2 linked regions of the Arabidopsis thaliana genome follow. The protein of the gene in region 2 interacts with the protein of the main gene of each other region in a biochemical or structural test. Each region holds a gene or a part of one and is shown on either strand. Other genes may lie near its edges.

What was found.
Region 1: the proteins of KAC1 (region 2) and ERH3 form a complex in vitro, tested with the Arabidopsis thaliana proteins (one study listed by BioGRID).

Annotation. Positions count from the first base shown.
Region 1 is NC_003070.9:30,203,571-30,210,802, reverse strand, and holds ERH3 (P-loop containing nucleoside triphosphate hydrolases superfamily protein), read left to right. Parts: upstream 1-2,534; 5' UTR 2,535-2,752; coding exon 2,753-2,880; intron 2,881-3,111; coding exon 3,112-3,583; intron 3,584-3,914; coding exon 3,915-4,112; intron 4,113-4,281; coding exon 4,282-4,526; intron 4,527-4,601; coding exon 4,602-4,760; intron 4,761-4,845; coding exon 4,846-4,933; intron 4,934-5,022; coding exon 5,023-5,304; 3' UTR 5,305-5,489; downstream 5,490-7,232. Other genes in the region: AT1G80360 (Pyridoxal phosphate (PLP)-dependent transferases superfamily protein), read left to right, coding at 160-222, 327-374, 533-661, 804-863, 955-1,111, 1,191-1,356, 1,432-1,540, 1,615-2,067. UniProt on the Arabidopsis thaliana protein: Severs microtubules in vitro in an ATP-dependent manner. Required for oligomerization of functional KTN80-KTN1 complexes that catalyze microtubule severing. This activity may promote rapid reorganization of cellular microtubule arrays.
Region 2 is NC_003076.8:3,290,348-3,299,999, forward strand, and holds the start of KAC1 (kinesin like protein for actin based chloroplast movement 1), read right to left. Parts: upstream 7,027-9,652; 5' UTR 6,902-7,026; coding exon 6,692-6,901; intron 6,512-6,691; coding exon 6,388-6,511; intron 6,110-6,387; coding exon 6,023-6,109; intron 5,894-6,022; coding exon 5,723-5,893; intron 5,603-5,722; coding exon 5,496-5,602; intron 5,002-5,495; coding exon 4,870-5,001; intron 4,762-4,869; coding exon 4,583-4,761; intron 4,474-4,582; coding exon 4,312-4,473; intron 4,228-4,311; coding exon 4,136-4,227; intron 3,997-4,135; coding exon 3,845-3,996; intron 3,760-3,844; coding exon 3,586-3,759; intron 3,492-3,585; coding exon 3,345-3,491; intron 3,208-3,344; coding exon 3,019-3,207; intron 2,919-3,018; coding exon 2,850-2,918; intron 2,647-2,849; coding exon 2,591-2,646; intron 2,485-2,590; coding exon 2,274-2,484; intron 2,070-2,273; coding exon 1,878-2,069; intron 1,770-1,877; coding exon 1,578-1,769; intron 1,476-1,577; coding exon 1,125-1,475; intron 929-1,124; and 7 more. Other genes in the region: PAS2 (Protein-tyrosine phosphatase-like, PTPLA), read right to left, coding at 7,700-7,770, 7,861-7,957, 8,297-8,378, 8,474-8,544, 8,709-8,735, 8,871-8,924, 9,025-9,113, 9,228-9,246 and 2 more. UniProt on the Arabidopsis thaliana protein: Kinesin-like protein required for chloroplast movements and anchor to the plasma membrane. Mediates chloroplast movement via chloroplast actin (cp-actin) filaments. Required for the chloroplast avoidance response under high intensity blue light.

The sequences.
Region 1 (7,232 bases), on a different chromosome or scaffold from region 2:
TCTCTGTTTTAGGTTTTTGTCAACGATCCCTTTTGCATTAGGTTGAGAATTAATTCTGAATTTCTTGCATACTAGCCAGTGTGTATATATAATCAAACAATTCGATCCTAATTGGAAAATTTCTCCATCAGGTTCAGGTCTCGATCGAATTGATTTGAAATGGGTTCGTTTGGGATGCTTTCGAGGAGAACGTTGGGCACTGATATGCCCGTCATGGCTCAGGTCAAACCTCGTACTTCTCCACTTCCATTTTCATTTGATTTGATTTGATTGGTCTCTTGTCTTTTTTTCTTTAAAGTGAGAAATTGTTGGGGTTTTGCGTGCAGATTCGGAGTTTGATGGCGGAATTGACGAACCCCATGTCTCTCGCCCAGGTTTTGCCCTCTCTAGAAATGTGTGTTTTATTTATAATCTAATCTAGTTTAGTTCACAAAAGACTTGGGCTTTCGTGAGTGGTCACCTTCTTTGGCTATACTTTGTCTGGAGTTTTGTTTTGTCTGCAGGCTGATTCTTTTGCTCATGTGCTTTTCAGGGAGTGGTGCATTGGCAGCCTCCTCAAAAGGCCTTAGAGAAGGTCAAGGAGCTTGTCTGGGATCCTATCATTAGTTCTTATGGCCCCGATGAAGGTCTTCCCGAGTTGAGACAGGCTCTTCTCAAAAAGGTAATCGCACCGTACTGAACCATTCTTCTAGCTAGCTCTGGCAACCTTTCTTGTATCCAATAAAGTGACCACTTTTGCTGCTCTTGAATCCAATTCCGTGACTGAGCTTGTTTTATTTTTGATTCCTTGTCTTGTTCTGAAGCTGCGTGAAGAAAACAAGCTAACCAATTCACAAGTGATGGTTACTGCAGGTGCCAATCAGGTATAACCTGTCTTTGTTTACTCTTTTGATTGCTCTTCCTTCTGTTTTCTTCTACTCTCATACTCTGTTTCTGTTTTTGCATCTAATGTAGGCGTTTGTGAACCTTGTTATTACATTATGTGATGCTGGTGATTCGGTTGTCATGTTTGAGCCATACTACTTCAACTCCTACATGGCCTTTCAGATGACAGGAGTCACCAACATAATTGTTGGTCCTGGCCAGTCAGACACTCTCTATCCTGACGCTGGTACCTCCTTGATTCTGTATCACGTTTTTCATGACTTAACATAGCTTTAGTTGTGACCAGTGAATCATTTTTGTTCCAGACTGGTTAGAGAGGACACTGTCTGAGTCTAAACCGACTCCGAAAGTTGTAACTGTTGTGAATCCTGGTAACCCAAGTGGCACCTATGTCCCTGAACCGCTGCTTAAGAGGATTGCTCAAATATGCAAAGATGCAGGGTGCTGGCTGATTGTAGATAACACATACGAGTGAGTTTCTCATTTCCTTAATTCCTATGATGTCCAAATTGAATGTAGTAATAAGCGGGGATTTGAAAATCGCAGGTATTTCATGTATGACGGTTTAAAACATTGTTGCGTTGAGGGAGACCACATTGTTAATGTCTTCTCTTTCTCTAAAACCTATGGCATGATGGGTTGGAGGCTTGGATATGTGAGTGCTCGATTCAATTCTATTCCAAACTAAACACTGGGATTGTCTTATAAAAAGGTTTGATGGACCTGCAGATAGCTTACTCAGAGAGATTAGATGGGTTTGCAACAGAGCTTGTGAAAATTCAGGACAACATCCCAATCTGTGCTGCCATAATCTCGCAGCGACTGGCTGTATACGCATTAGAGGAAGGTTCTGGGTGGATAACGGAACGGGTAAAGAGTCTAGTGAAGAACAGGGATATTGTGAAAGAGGCGCTTGAGCCGCTGGGGAAGGAGAACGTTAAGGGAGGAGAAGGAGCGATATACCTGTGGGCAAAACTGCCAGAGGGACACAGAGATGATTTCAAGGTGGTGCGGTGGCTGGCTCACCGCCATGGTGTGGTGGTGATCCCGGGGTGTGCAAGTGGTAGCCCCGGGTATCTCCGGGTTTCCTTTGGAGGGTTGCAGGAGGTTGAAATGAGAGCTGCAGCGGCGAGGCTGAGGAAAGGAATAGAGGAGCTGCTTCACCATGGAATGGTGGAGTGAGACGTTGTTTAAAGAAGGGTCAAAAGATGGTTACTTTGCGTTTGGTTGAAGCTATATAGTTGTTTTAAAAAGAAATAAAAGAGTGTTTGTTTATTCAATAATCAATATAGCTGATTCTTCTTTACAAAGTCATTGTATTTGGGATGTTGTTACCAATGGTTGAATCCTTAACCCCTTTGGTGTATGTATATACTCTTTACTTATTCAAATGAATAATCCAGCAATGAATGCAAAAGCAAAAACTGGATCAGCTTTATTCGTTATGAGTCTTTCTCTAAATTCAAAAATTTAAATTCGAGTCTTATGATTGACGTTATGACTTGTGAGAAATTGATAATCTGGCCTTTTATTTGAAATTTTAATTTCTGAACCCAGAGGATAAATAAAGTTAAAATCGATGATGATTTTAGGCTTTATTGGTTTGAAAGTGGGCCGTAGATGGGCCCGAATCTAAAATATTTGAATCGAACCCGAATAAAGAAAGAGAGGTTGGATCATAACTACCATCGACGTGGCTTCCATCTTCTTCTACTTTGTCTTCCATCTTCGCCGACGAGTCACATCTCCGAAATCCGGAGCCGGAGAGGGAGAAAGAAGGAGAATTTGGGTTCTCCGAGATCGAAGCTCTTGCCTCGGAACCCTTGATTTTGTTTTGGAATAGGCTATTTTTTTAGTAAAAGAGGAAATGGTGGGAAGTAGTAATTCGTTAGCGGGTCTACAAGACCACTTGAAATTAGCGAGAGAATATGCACTAGAAGGATCCTATGACACATCTGTCATCTTCTTCGATGGCGCCATTGCTCAGATCAACAAGTAAGTAGCTCCTCTTATCTCTCCAGTCTTGAATCTAGCTTTTTTGTCACCCCTTTTGGCAATTTCTTCAAGCCCTAAGCTACTTTAATAGTTTCGTGTTGGATTGTATTGAAATGGGCTTAGAAAAATCTAGAATTTTGCAATGTTCACCGTGCAATGTCTGTGTAGACAGAGATAGAACACTCTTATGTGCTGCGTTAGTGGTTCTGAAGCTATGGTATACTGTTTTAGGCATTTAAACACCCTTGACGATCCTTTGGCCCGGACCAAATGGATGAACGTTAAAAAGGCCATAATGGAAGAGACGGAAGTTGTGAAGCAATTGGATGCAGAGAGGAGAGCATTTAAAGAAGCTCCCACTGGGCGTCGCGCTGCTTCTCCACCTATCAATACCAAATCATCCTTTGTTTTTCAGCCCTTGGATGAGTATCCAACTTCATCCGGTGGTGGTCCTATGGATGATCCTGATGTGTGGAGGCCTCCTACCCGTGATGTTACTAGTCGAAGACCCGCCAGGGCTGGTCAAACTGGTACTAGAAAATCACCTCAAGATGGGGCTTGGGCTCGTGGCCCTACTACACGGACCGGTCCAGCTTCCCGTGGTGGCAGAGGTGGGGCTACTAGTAAGTCAACTGCAGGTGCCCGCTCTTCCACTGCCGGAAAGAAGGGAGCTGCCTCAAAATCTAACAAGGCTGAGTCTATGGTAAGTTATATGTTTTTGCCTTTTGGTATTGCACAATAGAGAAGGTTAAACTTGAAAATTTTCCATCAATCAATATTGACTATGGCATTTCCATTTCCATTACTTTACTTTGGTGATAGACAGGATGTCATGAAACTTCGAAGTTGTTATGTTATAGTAGGACTGATGTATCAAAGATCATGATTTCTGTTACGTTTATGAATGTCTAATTCTGAAATCTGTATTTAGAAACTTTAGAGTCATGGCCATGTTTCCTGTGGTTATGTTGAGTCGGTAGTTTCCACCTATTTTCAACAACTAATAAAACTTTCGGCTTCCTCGTTGATATCAGAATGGTGATGCTGAAGATGGGAAGTCAAAAAGGGGATTGTATGAGGGACCTGATGAGGACCTGGCTGCTATGCTTGAAAGGGATGTGTTGGACTCAACTCCTGGTGTCCGTTGGGATGATGTTGCAGGTTTGTCTGAAGCCAAAAGGCTGCTTGAGGAGGCAGTTGTCCTTCCTTTATGGATGCCCGAATACTTTCAGGTACTTTGATTCTGCTCCATACGCTGTGAAATTTGGATTCTATATTACTATTATTAGACATGGAGCAATCATACAGAATAACAGTTTCAATTCATCATTTCCGTAGACTTTATATTTGATCTTCCAGGTATAGAGGATACTTAATTTGATTGTTTTTGTTTCCCTTCAGGGTATTCGAAGACCATGGAAAGGAGTTCTCATGTTTGGTCCTCCTGGGACAGGTAAAACCCTGTTGGCAAAAGCTGTTGCAACTGAGTGTGGTACCACCTTCTTCAATGTATCTTCTGCTACATTAGCTTCAAAATGGCGTGGAGAGAGTGAGCGCATGGTCAGATGCCTGTTTGATCTGGCTAGGGCATATGCTCCAAGCACAATTTTTATTGATGAGATCGACTCTCTCTGCAATTCTCGGGGGTAAATTTTCCTGACGATACTGAGATTTCGATACTGAAATGAAAAGTATTTGTAATTGGTGGAGGTGTGATGCAGGGGTTCTGGAGAGCATGAATCATCAAGAAGGGTGAAATCGGAACTCCTAGTTCAAGTAGATGGAGTGAGCAATACAGCGACAAATGAAGATGGTAGTCGCAAAATAGTAATGGTATTGGCAGCTACCAACTTCCCGTGGGACATAGATGAAGCTCTCAGGTTTAAATATTCTTTGAGTTAATGCCGTCTTTAGACTTGCTCTAATATAATGAAATTGCTGATTCTGGAGCTCACGTTGGTGCAGGAGGAGGTTGGAAAAACGTATATATATCCCACTTCCAGATTTTGAAAGTCGTAAGGCTCTTATCAATATCAATCTGAGAACAGTTGAGGTTAGTTGTGGATACATTGTTACAACACTCGCAAATCTCTCTACTGGTCCAACGCAATCAATTTAGCAATGAACATTGTCACTTTTCAGGTGGCGAGTGATGTTAACATTGAAGATGTGGCCCGGAGAACGGAAGGGTACAGTGGAGACGATCTGACTAACGTGTGCAGGGACGCATCAATGAACGGGATGCGGCGTAAGATAGCGGGGAAAACGAGAGATGAGATAAAGAACATGTCGAAAGACGATATATCAAATGATCCAGTGGCAATGTGTGATTTCGAAGAGGCCATTAGGAAAGTGCAACCGAGTGTGTCTTCCTCTGATATCGAGAAACACGAGAAGTGGCTCTCTGAGTTTGGATCTGCTTAATTAAACCCACTTTTTTTAATTTAGTGTCAAAAGATGTGTGCCTTTTCTTGTGTGTTGTTGTTTATTGTATCATTATTATTATTTGCCAGTCATTTAACATATTCTTATGTTTCTATATTCCAAACTTGTAAACCTCTACGAAAAAAGAAAAGGATTATATGATTTTCTTCGGTTTTTTGGCTTCAGACTTAGTGTTCATAATTTCTTTACTGTCTTAGAAGAAAAAAACCAGCAAAGAATCACCTTGGTCTTTGTATCTCCAATACGTTGCAATCATTTTGAAAGTATTTGTATATTTTGTAAATGATAGGGATTGAAACATCATCCTATCGTTGACCAAAAATTTCACTGCGTGCTATATAAAATACTATATATGTTACCCTTTAACTGATGAAAATGTAAAGAGACAAGGCAGCACCGTTTATCATCAGACCAGTTTCGAGAGTGTTCCTGCATCGTTGGGCTCCCTCCTCAATTTTGTCTACGTGATTATATATCATATCGTCTACAAACAAAATAAATACAATTCTATCATATGAATATGTGATCATCGATGATCGATCAATATATGTTTTCGAGGTGACGTATATAGTATATTTCCGTAGAGACGGCGAAGAACATGATATCTCTGCATGCCTCCAATCAAATCTTTACACTTCATCCTTCTTCGTTACTTGTTCAGTTGTTCCTTTCTAATCCCGACAACCCTTAATTTGTATTTCTATATTAGATCGAAATATCTCATTTGTGATAAATAAAATAAAAAAAATCAAAGAAAGCTATAGAGAAGCTGCGTGCATGCATGGGTTGGCGATGTTTGGCTTGTTATGTTTGGCTTGTTATGTGGCATTATCTGTATGTATATTACCCTAAATCACATCTACGACATTTCCCTCGATCTTCAAAATATGCCAGCAATCTTCATGTTTCCTCATATCTCTTAACATTGGAAAATGTCTTTTGACCTCTTTTGATGTATTTTAAATTACTTCGAGCTCATCTATATTACAAATCATTCATGGTGAATTATTGTCCAGCCAATAGAATAGAAATCTGAATATAATGTGTACCACATCTTTTATGTAATTTATACGATATTCTTTTTCCTGAGAATGATCAAATAACAACATGCATGAATTGCTGCCAGAAAACGTCAGATTGATCAGTTATCACTACAATTATCAATTAACTAGTAAATAGTATCAAAATGTACGTAGTGCCCATCTATAGCTAGCTAAGGAGGACTCCGGATGTAGAGAAAAGCTAAAATGTGACTTGCTAGAGTTGTATTATATTGAATTTTCTAAACTAATAGTATCTTTTTTACAGATAATAATTTCCGGAAAACCTATTAGATGTATAGATATAACAATAAGCATCGATACCAACCTTTTACTTCCAAAAAAAAATAAAAAAAAAATGCCAAGATGAGATAATTTTGTCAATTTCAATTAGTGGGAAAATAACAATTGTCGTGTTATTTTTGAACCAACGCATCTCAGTGAATGATTTCCCAGTTCTTAAGATTTTAGGACATACTTTCCCAGTAACATCTAATCCGTTTGGGCATAAACAAGACAATTTGTAGTTATGTACATTTCTTAGTGATGTGTGTTGAAAAGATATGAATCAATGAGGTCCGACATATTTTGTCAATACGTTAGTGGTGTTTCAAAATAAATTTTTAGTATATATATTAAAATAAGACCAAAGGATAGGCTTTAGTGGTGTTTCAGGTATAGTTTTAATAATCAATTCAAAATAAGTCGAAAGGATATGTAAGATAGGCGTTATTTCAACGTGGATCATTATCAACCATGTCAAAAACGCATTTCAACTCCTAGATGTGTTGTTAGTTATATATGTTCCAAATGGAATCGACCCAACAGAAAAAGAGAAAAAAACGTAAAAGGTTATGCGATTCCAGG
Region 2 (9,652 bases):
GAACGCGTGCATCAGCCTTGATCACGAGCTCTGAGTTGTTGTTGCCTCCACATTTTATGATGAATGGGGCTGAAGAGCCTGTGTTGAATTGCAAAACGTTCCACTGAGATACATCAGTTTCACCTGAGGATATTGATTCTAATGAGGGTCTCCGGTCGTGTGATTGTTCCAGAATATTAGTGTCCTCTTGTTCAGGAATCGTCTGCGGTCAAGAGAAACAAGTTAGTTTGTTTACTATTTCAATCCGGATCTCATCATTATATCAGGTAGAGTTCTTTGTGTCTATGGTAGGTTCATTGAGAAACTGATTATACATAAACTAATTATACATGGAAATCAAAGGTACCTCGACCAACTGGTGTGCTGTAGCAATTTCTCTTTGTGCGCATGGATGGTCGATATCAAGAAGAGAAGGCATCCGCTCAGTGAGTTCATCAAGGGACTCAAGTAATGCTTTCTTCTTGCTTTTACTCAAAACATGGACAGAGGCTTGTCTTGTGATTTCCTGCAAGATGCAAAATAAGTTATTGACCAAAAATTAACCAAAAACCAAGATCTAGTATGAAGCATCATGAGGTATAAATACCTTGACTTGCTTCAAAATGCCATCCAGAGAAATGAGAGATGCTAATCTTGAGTCTTCAGCTGCCGTCGAAGGGTTTGGAATAGGAGAACTGCCTTCTTCCAGGTTAAGCAAAGCTGCATCACTTTTCATTTGTTGTAAAATCTGATAAAGAAAGCAAACGAAAGTCAGAGCACAAGAACGTTTCTAAGATAAAAATCAAAGCACCCAGAACTATATCGTTTATTTTCAGGTGCGGTCTAGTACCTTTCTTCTTTTGTGGTCAACGGACTCAAGAGCTGATCGAAGCTTAGACACTTGACCAGCATCTTCTGCCTCTTCTGCCGCCAAGGTACCAGCAATATCCTGTACCACAGTTCCATATTAGGCATCACTCCAAACTAATTACTCAGACTAAAACCTTAGTCCTTAGACCTCAACATAGGCCGTAAAGTCAGCCACAACATCAGCTACTTAAAGAGATCTTTCATTTCAGACCATTGGGAATGTCTATCTGCCAATTCCACTCAAAAAATATTTTTTGACCAATGACATCGCATACCTTCATGTGCTGCATTTGAGAAGTATAGACACGTTTTGCATACTCGGACAGAAGCTGCCCGAGAGCATCTGTATGAGGTGGCACAGCGGCCCCTAGTCCAGCCATCCAACCATCCATAATTGCTGTGGAAAGAAGCTCTAGTTGGCCACCGTTTCCTCCCGATACATCATCTGAGGTCACGGAAAGAAACTCAAAATTTTCTGCAAGCCATAGCCGAATCTGTCGCTGCAGTTCACCAGCCGGAGTGTGAACAAATAACGCAGCCAAGGCTTTGTTCCCAATAGCAAAACTTTTGGCTTCATCTTGCATTTCCCGCAGCTTAACTCCAGTAACTTGCTGCCTCCCAGCATCCTAGATGATAACAATCAAGAGCATAAGTCTCTCTTAATATATAACATGTTAGATAAACTCAAGCATCTTTGAAATTCAAGTGCTCTTCCAAGGTAAATCCACCTGTTCAAGTCCACGCATTCTTGATACCACAGATGCCAACTTGTTTCTCCTTTCTGCCTTTATATTTACTTTAAAGCCATGGATCTGCGTATCAAGATATCGAACAGGGGATCTACCTGGGCTGCTACCCCTGCTAGTGCTTTTACTTCTACCAGTATTAGGCTTCTCAAGAAAGCACTCGACAGGAGAGACCTAAATGAGGAGGATAGGGTTAATTTTACCAGGAGAAATAACATAGTCATACAAGCTAAGGCCAAAGCTAAAATAAAAATCAGATACAACTCGGATGCCTATGCTCACCCTGATAGTCTGAAGCTCCGGTGATCGTGCCAGTAAGGACCTTATGTATAGTATCCTAACTCGGGAAACAAGCATGGTATCCATTACTCTTCTTGGTTCCATTTTCCGAATAAATGAAAAGACAGAATCTCTAATCTCAGCAAGGATTTCATGCTCTCTGGAAGCACCAGCCTTGATGACAGCTGCCAAAACCTGCGAGTCAACAATAGGAAAAATGCTTGCCAATATAAGTTGATATAAAAACATGTCCTTAACCGATATTAGTGTCTAGAGACATCAGGAATCCATCATAACCTTCATTCTTCATATTATGATAGAACAATGGTGTCATGTCATATAACTACACCACTGAAAAGTCTAATAAAGATACTAAGAAACTAGTTCTTAACCAAGTACCAGCATTAGTAGCTTGTTTGCGCCGTCAGCAATGGCAGCAAGACCTTCATATTCTTCAGGGTCAAAGTCATTCAATGCAGCTGTCAAGTATTCTCCAGCTGGAGTGGTTTTTACTAAATCAGTGCCAGATTTTACTAACGTAATCGCTCCGTTATTCTTATTTGGTGTAGATGGTAAAGCAACGGCTTCTGCCGAATATCCTTCACCCCTACTAGTTCTCCCGGAGACAGAATATTACATATCAGTATATAATAAGGATTAATTATAATGAAAGGACAGAAACAGAAAACAGTAGTTCAAACTAATCACGGAATCACCTGTTAACATTGGCAGGCTGAATGTTTGGCGAAGCTCTTAATGAGGGACTCAACACCTAATAAAAAAAAAATGGATAAGAACACTTAAGCAATGGAGTACTGGTAGCAAGTAAACCTCCAGATGCATAGTGTTGAACATACAGTAGCAATTTGTAAAGAATGGAGTTAAATTAATTTTTCTCTTAACAGCTGAGAGCAGTGCCTTGATATGATATTGAAATGCTTAATATAGCATAGCTATACAAGAGAAAATAATGACCTGGGTCGAAACAGCCATTGACCTTTCTGTTAATCTGTCAAACAACTTTTCGTTTTCTTCATGCAACCTCTGCGGAAAACATAATTCTCTTCAGATAAATGTACTAGTGCAAATATCCATGGTTCAGCCAGAGGGCACGAACTCTAATCAGAGTAAGAGGGAGGAGAACCTCAATCAGTGCATCACGTTTTTTCAATTCTTCCTCAAGTTTCTTGGTAACAGAAGAAGAATCAGTTGTACCCTCAACCGCTTTTGGTATTGGAGAAAATATGTCCTGAGATTGCAAGGCATCTCCTGTTCTTGTTGTGTCAGATCTAACGGCTTCACTTACTTGTGATTCCAAGTCTGTAATTTTAGCCTGCATTAATTTGAATTGAACAACAGGAGAATTATATGTCTATCATGTACAGAGAAGTCAACAATTTCAAAAATCAGTTGCCTTAACATAGATCTAAAACTTTAAAGCGTAGATACTAACACTCATGGGGCACAAACCTGGAGATTTTGAATGGCGGAATCTTGTTGTTGCATTTGCAGCTTCTGTTCCTGATCCAACTGTAAAAATTGAGCTATTTGATTCCTTAACTGAGAATTCTGCTCCTTCTCTAGTCTATGTTTGTCTACAAGCATAATATTCTCTGACTGCATGAAGTACAAAACGGATAATGAGCAACAACAAAAAAGTTATAAAGAATTGTTGACAAGCTAAACAAGAACCCTGGTGAAGCTTTATGACCTTTAAATCTGATTGCAATGTAAATGAAACTTTCCACGCTCTCTGCACTTCACTGTAGAGTAATACACACTGGTCATTTGCATCTTTAAGAGCTTTTTTTAAGCCCACAACCTCTTGTTTCAGATTCTGATTTTCTCTCTCCTTCTCCAACAGCTCCTTCCGAGCATCACTTGCCTGCGGGACAAAAGGTTACCTATGCAGCAAATTTTGTAACAAAATGAATATCCGAGAAGGAAAAATCTCTTTCACTTCCACTTACCACATCTCTCCATTTCTTGATTGTATCTCGATTGCCAAGGCTTGGTACAGTATTCCGAGCTCTAGCAGCATAATTGAGACATGAGATTGTCTCAGACAAGGTTTGCACACTTGGACAGATGTTAACGATCATCAATGTTTTGGAACTTCCTCCTACACATTACAGAATATTGTATCTCACTTACAAAGAGCTTTAAGAAATGGTGGCAAAACAAAAACAAAAACAAAAGATGATACTATTAAGGGTGACACAAAAGAGGAAAGATGCATGTACTGAGATAACAAATTTTACCTAGGGAATCTGCAAGTACTCTTGTAAGAATTGAATTATCATAAGGAATTGAATCCTTTCCGGATGTCAACGAGGATAAAACATCTCCCAACCTATAGAACCAGAAATATATGCATAAACAAAGTTAACAAGAACAAATTCATGGATAAATACAGAGATATAAGAATTTAACATACGCTGAAATCGAATTCATGACATGCAGCAGATCAGTGACGTGGTCTCCACTATCATTTTCCATGATTAAACCTTCACTTCCAGCCAAGTCAACCAGAGAGAGCTTGCTATATATGTTTTCTCCAGTAATCGTGTTGCTATAGTATATGTGTATTGAGACAATCCTACCAAGGCAGAAAACATCCGTAAAGAAGTGCTAAAGAATCTTGGTCCTTAGCAGATAATTATATGCATGTAACCGAAGGAGGTATTCAAGCACAATATAAAACATACAGATGTGTCACATTAAATTTTGATTTATAGTTGCCCCGGTTCAGAAATGCAGATTTTAAGACTCCTAAGAACTCCAATGGATTATCAACTTTTTCCTGTCCGAGTTCTATAACAGATTCATGTAAATCCATGTTGATATTGGGCAAGTTGCTCTGAGTTTCCGAAAGTAGATCCCTGATCTGACAATGAAGGTTGTCAAATTAGAAGTGTCAAATTCCACTGCAGAACTATCTTGGCAAAGAAAATGAAACCCAAAAGTATTAGTACTTAAACTCGATTGGAAGCACCTGTTCATTATAGATCTCAAACACTGAAAGAGAGAAACTGAATCGTGATGTCGAAGTTGAATCCGAATTGGCTAGGTCGAAGAGTTCCTCAAAACATCGAGCATATAAACCACGATCGTGATTCGAACCTTCCTGGCAAAACAACAATCAACAAAGCTGATAAAACGGAGAGCCATAGGGAATAACAAATCACTGTGAAAATAGACAGTCCTATGATTAACGACCTCATTCAACATAGAAACATGCCTGTGAATGTACACGATAATGTAGACACAATATTCACTTCAGATATTAAAGAAAGCATGTTGTTATACTAACAAAATCAGTTTGATATGCATCCTACATATGTCATAACTCCAGAAAGAAGCTTATCCCAGGCTCAATTCTGAACCCGATAGAAGAAGAATAAGCATGTAATTAAGCAAATGAACGCATGAGAGCTATAGAATGAGCATATTCTTCAAAAGAAAAGTAACCGCATATACATCATAAGCTATGTTAAATTCTCACATACAAGCAAAGCTAGACACTAGAAAGTAACAGCAAGTCCATCTATATAGTTGCTTCACAACATCAACATGTGACCTATTTGTTAACTTTCAGAGGAAAATGAAAAGAATGGTTACCATGGTGTATGTCTTCCCTGCATTAGTTTGTCCATATGACAATATGGAGACGTTAGATCCATCCAGTGCAGATTGAACAAAAGGTTGGACATCGCTAAACAGTGCAGCTGAGCAAAAATTACAGTATAAGTACAGAGGTCGTATTGTTGCAGCTTTTGTAGATTGAAACCAGAAACAGCTCATGACATAAGGAGAGACTACATTTTACAATGAACTATGGTACTCACCTTGTCCAACATGAGGTCCGTAAACTCGGTCAAATTCAAAGTCCTTCTTGGGATTGGACAGAGTATCATCACTAGTGTTTACACATATGGTGCAATCCCCAGGGAACTCTATAACAGAGGGACCTTCATCCTCAAACAATGGCCTTGCACGGCAAAATACCTTTATGTTCCCTGAAGTACGAAAAACAAATCCACATTAACCAACAGGTAGCAGAGAACTATCATACATCAGTGAACCTATACCAAAGAAAGATTATCGATATAGAAAGATCGATGATACTGGTTATGGAAGCTGTGTACCTTTGGCCGTTAACAAGTCATTGAACAGTCTTTTCTTCTCATTGATAAGTGGAGATATCCTAGCCTCAGTCTCAAGGACAAACTGATCTGTGGTGGTTTACGTAGATAAATCAATACAACACACTACCAAATTTCCACCACAAAACAGATAAATAAACGCAACCACGAGAGCTAGATACAGTAGATGGATTTATGAAGTTTCCAATAAAGGTTTCAATTTTGGGAAAATGCCAACCAATTCTAGTGTTGTTAACTTCTCCAGTGGTCACAAATGCACCAAATGTAATGAATACTCAGTTTTTCTCGATGCTTGCACACAACTTACATAGACTTCAAATTTACGACTAGTGAAACACAAAACTTACCCAATTTACGACTTTTCTCAGCCAAAACACCTAAGTAACGTGTAACCCTGTCAAGCTTAGCATTAGAATACTCCTGAAGATCAGTAGCTTCTTGTCTCAACTCCAAGTAATCTTCTTTCGCAAGCTGTTCAACCAAGTCACAATTTTTTTTCTTGATAAGTAATGGCTTCAACACTAAAAACTTCCATCAAATCCCACAAGCTAGACTTAAGAAACTAAAAGCAGCCTTTTATAAAATTAATTCAGCTCAAAACCAAAAGCCAAGTATACTCTGTGAAGTGAAAAAGGAAGTGAAATTTATCACCTTAACTTTCTCCTTTAATCCGTTAACCTTAGATGCAATTGCTTGCTTAGGCGGAAGCGAGGGAGTCGAAATCGAGTTCCGGCGAAGCAGAGGACCAGTCGTACGGTGACCAGTACTCTCCGCAAACGATGCATTGGAAGAAGACTTCCTCGGTTCGAACCCACTCACCTCCCAGTTCCATCTATTGGTTTTACTTCTCTGATCGGCCATTTCATCCAAAAAAAAAATCAAATCAAAGCAGCAAGAATTGAAGCAGCAGCTTCGAAAGCCAAATGAAAGAATTCAAAAGTTTTCGAATTTTATTTTTGTAGAAATAATCAAAGATTTTTGTTTTTATTTTTGGTTCATCTCTGTGGATTTTTCCCTCGGTTTGGTATACAAAATAATGAAAGGCGGAGAAGGTCCTTTTGATTGATTCCAAACGACGACGTTTATATTTATTTCAATTTTTATATTTAAGAAAATAGACAACGCCGATGCCTTTTCAGACACAAATATTTTGTGATCTGCGTTACTTCACGACGCCTTATCGTGTTCCATGATAAATCTCTCACTAACGAACTACGTTGACTTTTATATATCACAAAAAAACAAGTTTTGATAGTTATTTTGGGCAAAGTAAATTTGACTCGTGATCATCTCAAAAGCATTTAAATATTTAAACCATGATAAGACGATATGACCCAATAATTTCACAATTTTCTTGATTTTTTTTCAATTTCATAAATATTATTAAGAATCCATTTCGACTTTTTGGGAAATTTTAGCTTAAATCAACTTTTTCATTTCTACTGAGAAGGAACCAATGATTTTCTTATTAATTTAGAAACCACATTACACTTAATAGTATCCTGCTGCATGTAAGTTCAAGTAATCGCCGAGGAAGTAAAAGCTCAAACAAGCTAAACAAAAGACAAGTTGTAGTAGTAGACTAGTAGTACATGAACGAACAAGACAAGAGGAGAAAACAGTTGATGAGCTTTTTCGTCTCTTTCTAAATCTTTTCTTTTATTCCCTCTTGGATTTGGAGAGAGCTCTCTTTCGCTGACCAAGCATGTACCTGTACATGTGTGGGCTACCTGCAACAGCCAAATACAAATTTAGTCTCGCAGATCAGAATTGAACAGATGTATGGGATATGTTATAAGAAAGGTTGACTGAGTTTGTGCCTGGGACATAGATTGCAAGGACGAGTATCGTTGCATAGAAGAAGTCAAATGAGAAGTTCAATATGTTAGGCATCCTAACGCTGTACATCTCCGATGTCTGCAGACAAAAGAAAAAGAAAAAAAAAGAGCAAAGGGACCATTCAGGAATCAACCATATATATACTCTCCCCTGATACCAGTGGAACAGAAAATCTGAAACTTTATAGATGGCATTAAAGTTAAGTCTATATATGGATTATTTTACAGTGACGTCTTGAAAGTCAACAAACAGATCCTGTCTACTAGAGTCTGAGGGAAATGGCTTTAACAGTTCATGTCTACTCTAAGAGCTCTAAATTCTAATACACAAAAGGGTGTAACAACCCGTAAAGAAATGATATTGTAAAGGAAAGAATTGTTCTCTGTTTAAGGAATTGACATGAGCCAGTTGTGTTACCTTGATGTGTGGTAAGGCAAGGTAGATAAGACCAACTTCGCTGGTGATACCGGTAGGGTATAGCAATAAAAAGCTGCTGTATCTGAACAGATTAACGAGAGAGAAATAAATGAGATTAGAGTTGCAAATTAATCTGTTTTTCAATGTCTATTATTATATTGCACATGAATGGCATACCTGAGCCACAAGTGCCATGAAGGTGCAAAGCCTAGAGCTTCCTTAAAGCCGAAGAATGAGTAGCGAATAATCTGCGCTCAGAGCGAGTTATTCATCAAACATATGAACTGAAGCACGTTATCCTAAAAGGACGCTACTAGGATAAGACTTCAACCAAAATGGAGTAATTAAGGAGTCATACTTAAGTCAAATCTTGACTGTTCGAAATATTAACAGCTAATCTCTTGTTCTGTACTTCAACAATCCATGTTGTGATAGGAAACTTTCAAAGCATCAGTAAGAGAAGCAATGTTTTAGACATTTCAGATTTATGGCATACAACGAATCTAATAAATGTCTCCTAGTAAGAGCGATATCAATGGCTACCAAAATCAACACAGAGACTAGATATAATCACCTCTGTGATAGACCAGCTTATGACCAGCGACGTAACAAGAAAATGAGATCGGACCTGAAATTAAATGAAACAAAGTTCAACAATCAAATGATGAAACTTGCAACAATCAAAGAGAAATAATGAACTAGTAATGCTGGTAACTTTCTAAGTTAACCTCTGGAAAACTGTATAGGATGCCCCAAGTGAGAAATAGCCTTGAACCTATCTGTGGCAGAGTTGCAGAAACAGGAGATCTGACCAAACCTATTCGAGTTTAGCAACACAGCAGAACACAACTCAGTCAATGATCTTAAAAAGAGTTTAATCAAAATGGTGTAGTGCAAGTTCGAAATTAGTCTAATGGATCAGATCACTCACCTACTAATCCATGAAGAATCTGCTCCACACCCGGAAAATTCCAAAATCCAGATTTTAATCAGAGGAAAGAAAAAAAAAACAAATACTCAGTTGCAACAAGTGTGAACCAAATCATTCTTCTTCTTCTCTAATTACCCGGGAAATGCAACAAAACAAGAAGAAATAAAACACGAATTGTGTCACGAGAGACGGACCTCGAGAACGGCGGCAGTCTGAGCAAGCTGGAGAGGCTTCTCAATGGCGTCATAGACATTCTCATAACCCGTTTCCTTCAACGTCGTTATCGCTAAGTACAAAACCTGAGCCCTAATACCCCAAATGTCACCAAAATTCAAAAATCAATCCGAGAGAAAAATAAAAACTCCACTAGACAAAAGAAGAAAGAGAGTCGAGCTCGACTTGCCATCCAGCAAAGACGATCCAAT